Daphnia pulex: one gene and its partner. The protein of the gene in region 1 interacts with the protein of each later gene in a pairwise test. Links are inferred from orthologs where the notes say so. Each region holds a gene or a part of one and is shown on either strand. Other genes may lie near its edges.

Evidence for each region.
Region 2: the proteins of serine/threonine-protein kinase Pak-like (region 1) and cytoplasmic protein NCK1-like interact in a two-hybrid assay, tested with the Caenorhabditis elegans proteins (2 studies listed by BioGRID). The link is inferred for Daphnia pulex from reciprocal best matches to the Caenorhabditis elegans genes pak-1 and nck-1.

What each region holds. Positions count from the first base shown.
Region 1 is NC_060022.1:3,422,139-3,426,062, reverse strand, and holds the start of serine/threonine-protein kinase Pak-like, read left to right. Parts: upstream 1-1,438; 5' UTR 1,439-1,524; exon of another isoform or gene 1,525-1,659; intron 1,660-1,781; 5' UTR 1,782-1,797; coding exon 1,798-1,853; intron 1,854-1,939; coding exon 1,940-2,138; intron 2,139-2,567; coding exon 2,568-2,733; intron 2,734-2,800; coding exon 2,801-3,159; intron 3,160-3,234; coding exon 3,235-3,431; intron 3,432-3,493; coding exon 3,494-3,680; intron 3,681-3,744; coding exon 3,745-3,924. Other genes in the region: probable protein phosphatase 2C 8, read right to left, coding at 1-304. UniProt on the Caenorhabditis elegans protein: Required for hypodermal cell fusion, together with cdc-42 and ced-10, leading to embryonic body elongation, which involves dramatic cytoskeletal reorganization.
Region 2 is NC_060024.1:8,484,680-8,488,603, reverse strand, and holds the start of cytoplasmic protein NCK1-like, read left to right. Parts: upstream 1-1,478; 5' UTR 1,479-1,672; coding exon 1,673-1,694; intron 1,695-1,780; coding exon 1,781-2,206; intron 2,207-2,276; coding exon 2,277-2,520; intron 2,521-2,584; coding exon 2,585-2,729; intron 2,730-2,808; coding exon 2,809-3,129; intron 3,130-3,193; coding exon 3,194-3,288; intron 3,289-3,351; coding exon 3,352-3,523; 3' UTR 3,524-3,924. Other genes in the region: trimethyllysine dioxygenase, mitochondrial-like, read left to right, coding at 1-245, 333-557, 626-896.

The DNA of each region.
Region 1 (3,924 bases):
TTCGTAAAATTCTTGACAGCAACAGAGTCCAGCCTTGAATGCGTTCGTTACGTGCAGCCGCTCCAATCAAACCAAGGGCGAAGAGACCCAATATCAAGGGTATGAAGTTGAAACTGTTGCTGCTGCCGTTCCTGTCGGCTCCATACACGGGCGGTTCGTCCACCAAATTTTGCAATTCGATTGACAAGTTTGGCAATTCAATTTGATCGATATCGGCTCGTATTCCTTTAATAGAACGGGCTGATAGTCGCATCAGGATCGAGCAGGCCTCGTAGAGCACATCCGACTCTGTAGAGTCATCCATGGCTGTGGCTCAGTAAGTTTTCATGGGCGGAGAAGTAAGCACTTTTGCACAGAAAAACAAAAATCAACAATAAACAGGGGAAAAGAGGCGGAAGCGGAAGCAAGAGACGACGAGACTACAGCCGCTGGGAACAGTTGTCTTTCCGTCTTGAAACTGAATTTGTAAAATGTGGTTGGTTGCTAACGTTTCTTCGGGACAAGTCTTTTCTCCAGACTTAACGTCGAATGCCAGAAAGAAGAGGGGTTATTTTTATCCTCGGTAGCAAGAACTTGGAAGAAGAAAGAAAGAAAAAAGATAGGAAAAAGCCGCCCACTTATCCCCGCCCGGTCTTCGGATTCTGCTCACATATCACCGCACACAACTTTCCCACTAGAATGTTGAGTTTTGAGAAATTATTTCATTTTACTTTGAAAAGACAAATTGATTCTGCTTAACAGTCATTTTAAGAAAGAAATGTTTGGAGTAATAGCAACTGTTTTCTAAAAAACAAACAACTATTGTTCAATGTTTACCTGATTATCGTCTGTTCGTCAATCGTCAAGTGGCGTCCAACAAGCGATAGCTTATCAAGCGACTCCATGTGACCCCTCGTTTGCTTCTAGCAACTAGCCACGTAAGCGTCCTCCCGTGTCCCGTCCTGTATGAACTAATGCGATAACGATTTTTCATTGAATTTTTTAAAGTAAAAATTTACCGAGACAAGTATTAAAAAAAAATCGATTATGCATTTTTTGCGTTGTATCCGGTAATTATTAGGTCGACGTTCAACATTCATCTTGATCATTGTGACGAATATCGATGATGGACTTGCATGAAGAATAACCATGCACGTCAAAAATCAATTGAAATCGAGGGTTTTCTTTTTTCAATTTCCATTATAAAAAGACTGTGCAATCTGCGAATTCACGAAAGGTAAAACGCTGTATGCGTGCCGAATACGATGCGGATATCAACCGATATCATATTAGCTAGTCCAAGTTCCAAAGGTCTTTCTATTTAATCAGGTTTTATGTGTGAAGCTCGTGGGCTACTCGATGCAATGCAATATCCGCTCTGTCCATTTGATATGGATTACATGTGTCTATCGGGATGGGCTCAAATAGCACTATCGAGTGAAAATATCGATTTAAGTCTATATCGATACTGCTCCACAAGCGACGAAAAAGAAAAAAAAAAATTACAGACCAGACTGTCAGAGTAATTTGTTCTGTCTGTGGGTGGTATGTGTGTTTCTCCTTACGATTTTCTTGTTTTCGATTCATTTGCAAAGTTACGGTTTGTTCTGAAAATAGATAAGAAGGATATCTGAAACCTGAAAGCTTCTAGTTTTGCTCACAAGTGAAACAAATTGCCAGGTTTTCTCAGTTTTTCTTTTGATAGTATAGAGTTAGGCTCTCCACCCACTATATTTGTGTATTTTCGTCCAGTTTAAACAAACTGAAGTCTTATTTTTCGTCATTTTGTTTATCGTGAGAAGGTGAAAACTGGTGAAAATGGCAGATGAAGAGGATAAGCCACCTGCACCTCCTGTCAGACTGACTAGCAATCGGTGAGCAATAAAAAAAAAATGGGTTCTTTGCCAATCAACAGTACCCAACACCCTAAACCTTTTTTTGTATTGTTTTTTTTTTCAAGGAATGAAGCTGTTCCTGTTGTTCCTGTTGACCTTAGACCTTTACCAAAGGAACCTGAGTCAGAAAAGAAGAAAACTTTAAAAGTTAAGGTCCCTCAGAGAAAGAACAATGATAGATCAGATAAGCCCAACATTTCCTACCCAACAAATTTTGAACACACCGTTCATGTTGGTTTTGATGCAATCACTGGAGAATTCACGGTAAATTTCTTTCAAATGCTTGCATGAATAATTCTAAAATACTCTTGGGCGTTGCGAGTCATGGTTTAGGAATGCATGGCTTTATAGTTAAAATTATGACAAGTTTAGTTTTACGAACCAACATTATTTTACAACATTATTGATATTGAATTGAAAATGGCCAATTATGGTTGGAGAATGGCAGCCAAAAAGAAAAATAATTTTTTATTGTAGTGCTGCTGATTAAGTTCTCATTAGTGTGTGAATGTGTGTGCGTGTGTGTAGCCTTCAGATAATTGTATTAATGTAATTGTGTTTTCTTGAATGCAAGCAGCAATGTCAAGTAAGGAATGATAAAGCTAAGTCTGCTTGTTGAAGAATGAGTAGTTACTATTTTATGTCACATGCATCACATTAAATGTTATATTTTGACAAATTTGCCATACATAGGGAATGCCACAAGCTTGGGCCCAATTACTTCAAACATCCAATATCAGCAAACAGGAACAAAAGAAAAATCCTCAAGCTGTACTTGATGTGCTCAAATGGTACGACATTTCTTCCCAAGTAGGAAATGAAACCAAGTATATGGAAACGCATACGCAGAAAAGCACGGGTAAGATCCATAATATAAAATGCCTTATTTATGTTCTTGCTTTAGCAAAATTTTGTTGTCCTTCAAGTGGATGGTTTGGGCCCTTATTCAAGACCTACATATCAACAAACTGACAGTTCTTGTCCTAAAATTTCCTTAGTGGTCAATAGCCCAAGTCATCATAGCCATTCGTCCTCACAACATAGCTTGGCTACTCCCCTTCACCTTACAAGTTTTGGGCGACAAGGATCCGGCTCAGGCTCGGTATCTACTCCTGAAACAGAATCGAGCCAAGCTACTGACACCATCGGCAGTCTTGAGCGAGATGACGATAAAGGCAGTGAACATCTCGCAGACCTTGCCAACAATCAGGAAAATGAACGAGACGGTGAGGACAAAGCGCCTCCTCCGCCAGTGGCTGTTCGTCCAGAACGAACGAAATCGATTGTAAATTGATTTTTACAAGTTAAGCTTTTTTTTTCTTTTGTCAGTAATAATCCCCTTCGTTTTCTTCGCTAATAGTATACGAAACCTATCGAGGAACATAAGGTGCCTATTACCAACGGTGCCTATGCGCTGGACGGTAATAAAAATGCTCCAACGCCGAATGCGCGAAAGAAAAAAATGTCAGACGAGGAGATTCTAGAAAAATTGAGACTAATTGTGAGCGTTGGCGATCCCAATCGCAAATATACCAAAATGGAGAAAATTGGACAAGGGTAAGTTACATTCAAAAACTCAATCGTCTATGATGCAATGGTGGAAATTGTGTGTCCTTTAGAGCCTCGGGAACTGTATACACAGCAATAGAAACTTCAACGGGTCAAGAAGTAGCCATCAAACAAATGAATCTGTCACAGCAACCTAAGAAGGAATTGATTATTAATGAAATCTTGGTGATGCGAGAGAATAAACACCCTAACGTAGTTAATTACCTCGACTCGTACCTTGTTGGAGACGAACTCTGGGTAAGGCAGCCATTTTCAACATAAATGTTGATTTTCTAAAATTTATAATTCATTCGTATTTCAGGTCGTAATGGAATATCTTCCTGGGGGCTCCTTGACTGATGTTGTAACCGAAACTTGCATGGACGAAGGTCAAATAGCCGCAGTGTGCCGGGAAGTTTTACAAGCCTTAGAATTCCTTCACTACAACCACGTTATCCACCGAGACATCAAGTCGGATAACATTCTTCTCGGATTAGATGGA
Region 2 (3,924 bases), on another chromosome or scaffold:
AGTGATGATAAAATATTACGTGAAATATATCGCCGGGTCTTTCAGTACGGCTTCGTCAAAATAGAGCAAGTACCACCAACGAAACTTGACACCAGCGCGGTTATCGAGCGTATCTGCCGTATGTCCCACACGGTCTTTGGAAAGTTTTGGGAAACCGGTACCAATTTCGACCATAAGGATACGGGTTACCTGAACGGCTATTTAGAAGCCCATACAGACAACACTTATTTTACTGAAGCGCAAGGGTATGGATTTCCCTCTTTTCTTGTTGATTTAATTCTTATTTTTGAACTGAATTTATCCTTTTCTATCCTATCCGTTCATTGTTTTAGGCTTTTGGTTTTTCATTGTACTCATTTCAATGGGACGGGTTGCGAATCTTTCTTGGTAGACGGATTTCACGTGGCTAAGCAGTTAAAACAGCTTGATCCTTCTGCCTACGATTATTTGTCCAAAGTAAATATGGAAGCCGAGTATATTGAACCAGGTGAGCATTTCTCTTCTTGGGGTCCCATCTTCCGTCATCATCCAGTGAGCCATAAGTTGGAACAGATTCGGTAAGATACTTTTGTCTGAATAAAAAGGCGTTTCTATTTTAATTACAGTAAATTTATTCTTTATTCAGGTTCAACATGCTAGATCGGTCGCCTCTTTCTGGTATCCCACAAGAGGAAGTCGGTACCCATTATCGTTATCTAAAAACCATGGCGACGCTCGTAAAGAAAAAAGAAAACGAATATCGGTTTCGTCTCTCACCAGGAACCGTGATGATAATTGATAACTGGAGGCTCTTGCATGGGCGTGAAAGTTATCAGGGTGAAAGAGTATTGAGAGGTTGTTATTATTCCCGATCGGACTTTATGAGCAAAGCGCGACATTATGGAATAATATCTTGATTAAACTGCGCCACGATTAATTCGTCAATGCACAATAAAACAATACCATTTTCAAGACAAATTATTTGTTATTTTAAACCCGCATTTGGAAACGCATAGAAATTTTCGAATTTAATGTAAACTGAATATGATTACCGGAAAATAAATAATCATCAATTTAAAAAAAATTATAAAAGACTCGTCAGCTCCGCAAAAATAAAATGTGAATAAAACAATTTAATGTGTAGTAAAAAAAATTCATAAATGATATTACTGGCGTGGTCCAGTGGTTATGGTACCCGATCATCATGAGGTGGAAAGATTGGGATGGTTTCACCTGCGGCTCGTGGATACTAGTCAAACTAGCTAAATGAAGTACAGCATAAATAGAAATAAGTCTCTTAGTTCCCTCTTGGCTGAGCAACTATTTGAAAATGCAACAGTGCAATAATCGTAATCTGTTACGATATTGCATGCGCGGAAATCATTCCAATGACCAAAATTGATGGATCAATCCTCTATAAATTCTAAACTTTTTTTACAATGTAAATTTCACATTTTATTTCTCGTCAGCTCCGCTCTAGCCTTTAAAGTAAATGGCAACTCAGCAGGCATCGTATTCAACATGGCAGCTAACTAAAAACTGGCCCTGCCCACGAAAAGTTTTTCGAGGATTAAAATCGATAAAGACGAGTCATTGAATTGAATTTGCATCGTTCAGCTTGAGTATTGCTCAAAATCAAAGCATTTTTGGGCAGTGATTGCTCATTGGTGTCCGCTAAGGGTCGCACAACATAATGTCTAGCAGTCTAAAAATGGGTATGTTGGTTTATTATTATAGGGTGACTCATTATGCAGTTGTCATTAGTTGATGTTTATATGTTGGTTTATTGCATTCGTTTCAGGCAAAGCCATTGAAGACTGTTATGTCATTGCAAAGTATGATTATGTTGCCCAAGGATCACAGGAGTTGAGTTTAAGGAAGAATGACAAACTTCTATTGCTGGATGACTCAAAACATTGGTGGAAAGTTCAAAATTCTCAACACCAATGGGGATATGTCCCTAGCAATTATGTGAAGAAGGAGAAACCATCTATATTTGACTCAATCAAGAAGAGAGTGAAAAAAGGGAATAGCATCAACAAATCCTCCAACAGTCCCGGTGGCTCTCCCGTGAGAGAAGTTGATTCTCCAGTAGTAATCAAGCGCCCTTCTCCTGATACATCACATTATCCAGCTCATGATCTCAATGCAGGGCCTCACCAAGGCTGGGCGCTTGTTCGTTACAATTATGTTGCTCAGCAAACTGATGAATTGTCTCTTGTGAAAGGTAACTTGTTGCAAATTGACGTCAACACCCCCAGTATGTTTACTAACACTTCAATCAATGCATTTATTAGGAACAAAGGTGCTCGTGCTTGAAAAAAGCAGTGATGGTTGGTGGAAAGGTCAATACCAAAACCAAATTGGATGGTTTCCATCAAATTATACCCTCCCAGATTCATTACAACAGCAGCAGCAGCCTGTAGCAAACATGACAGCAAGCGTCGCACCGCCGGCTGCATCAGCTATGGTTATGTCTGCGGGAGAACACATGTACTCAGCAGCCGAGAATGTTTTGGATGTCGTAGTTGCTCTTTACAGGTAAGCCGAATTTTAGTCATTAATTTGGATTAAAATTTATTTTGGTATTTGATATATTTTACAGCTTTGCTGCACAAAATAACGAAGAACTAAGCTTCGTTAAAGGCGAGAGACTTGAAATTCTTGATCGTCCACCTGCAGATCCGGATTGGTATCGAGCCCGGAACACCAATGGTTCAATTGGTTTGATTCCAAAGAACTACGTTCAGGTATTATTTCGTCGTGACTAATTAATTATTGGTAACGTTATGCTCGTTACAATAAAACTTGTTCTTCTTGTTTCTTTAGGAGATTAGCGACTTTTTGACCGAACCTTTCCGTCAACGAGCACCTGGTGGTAATGGTGCTCCAGGTGGGCCTCCTGTCAGCAATTTGCCCCCGATGCCGAACAACGGAAGTAACGCAGTAGACGGCATGGGGCGAAGTTTGGATGCCTTGAGTTTGAATACACCTCCCGCCGTATCTGCTAGCCTGAGCCAGGATCCTAATTTCCCTCACTTGAAAGAAAAATCCTGGTTTTACGGAGCCATCACCCGAGCTGAATGCGATAATCTACTTAATCAGTATGGTCAAGATGGAGACTTTCTTGTGCGATCATCTGAAACCAACGTAATTTGTTTAAAAAAAAAACTATTTTAGAGTTTACGTTTACTAATTCATTTGTAAATAATAGGTTGGAGATTACTCCGTGTCTCTGAAAGCACCCGGTCGCAATAAGCATTTCCGAGTCCACGTCGAAGGAGCTTTGTATGTCATCGGTCAGCGGAGGTAAGATCGGATTATATTCATTTCATAGTCTTCCAATTACATTCTGATTAATATTCGAATTAGGTTCCATTCTATCGACCAGTTGGTAGACCACTACCAAAGATCCCCCATTTTCACGTCAGAAAAAGGAGAACGTCTCTTCCTTATCCGACCACTACCCAAGCCTGTCGGATATATCCCACCTTCTTTTGCACCACCCACTCCGGCGACAAGACCGATGCAACCGATGGCCTAATGGCGGTCTTAACACAAGTAGCTCTAACCAAATGTGTGGGTTTATTACGAACCCACTGTTCTCTCTTTGAAGGATAAAAAAAAAAAAAAAAAACACAGAAGAGACAACTCTCTCATCTCTTTCGATAGCTCCCCCACCCCAATAACTTTTTTCTCGCCGTTGACAACGATCCATTTAATTCATTTATGCAATTATTCGGCATTCATCAGATACGACCCAAGGGCACTTGGAGAGTGCGTTTTCAAGCTCACTTGATGAATTTAATCTCGTAGCTAGCCCGATATATTGGACAGACTTACTCCCAGTTAGTTTCCTTAAATTTTGATTGATAACACTAAAGGGGCACAGCAGCAACAACAACAACAAAAAGTAACGGTTTCCAAAATATGAGAAGAGATGGC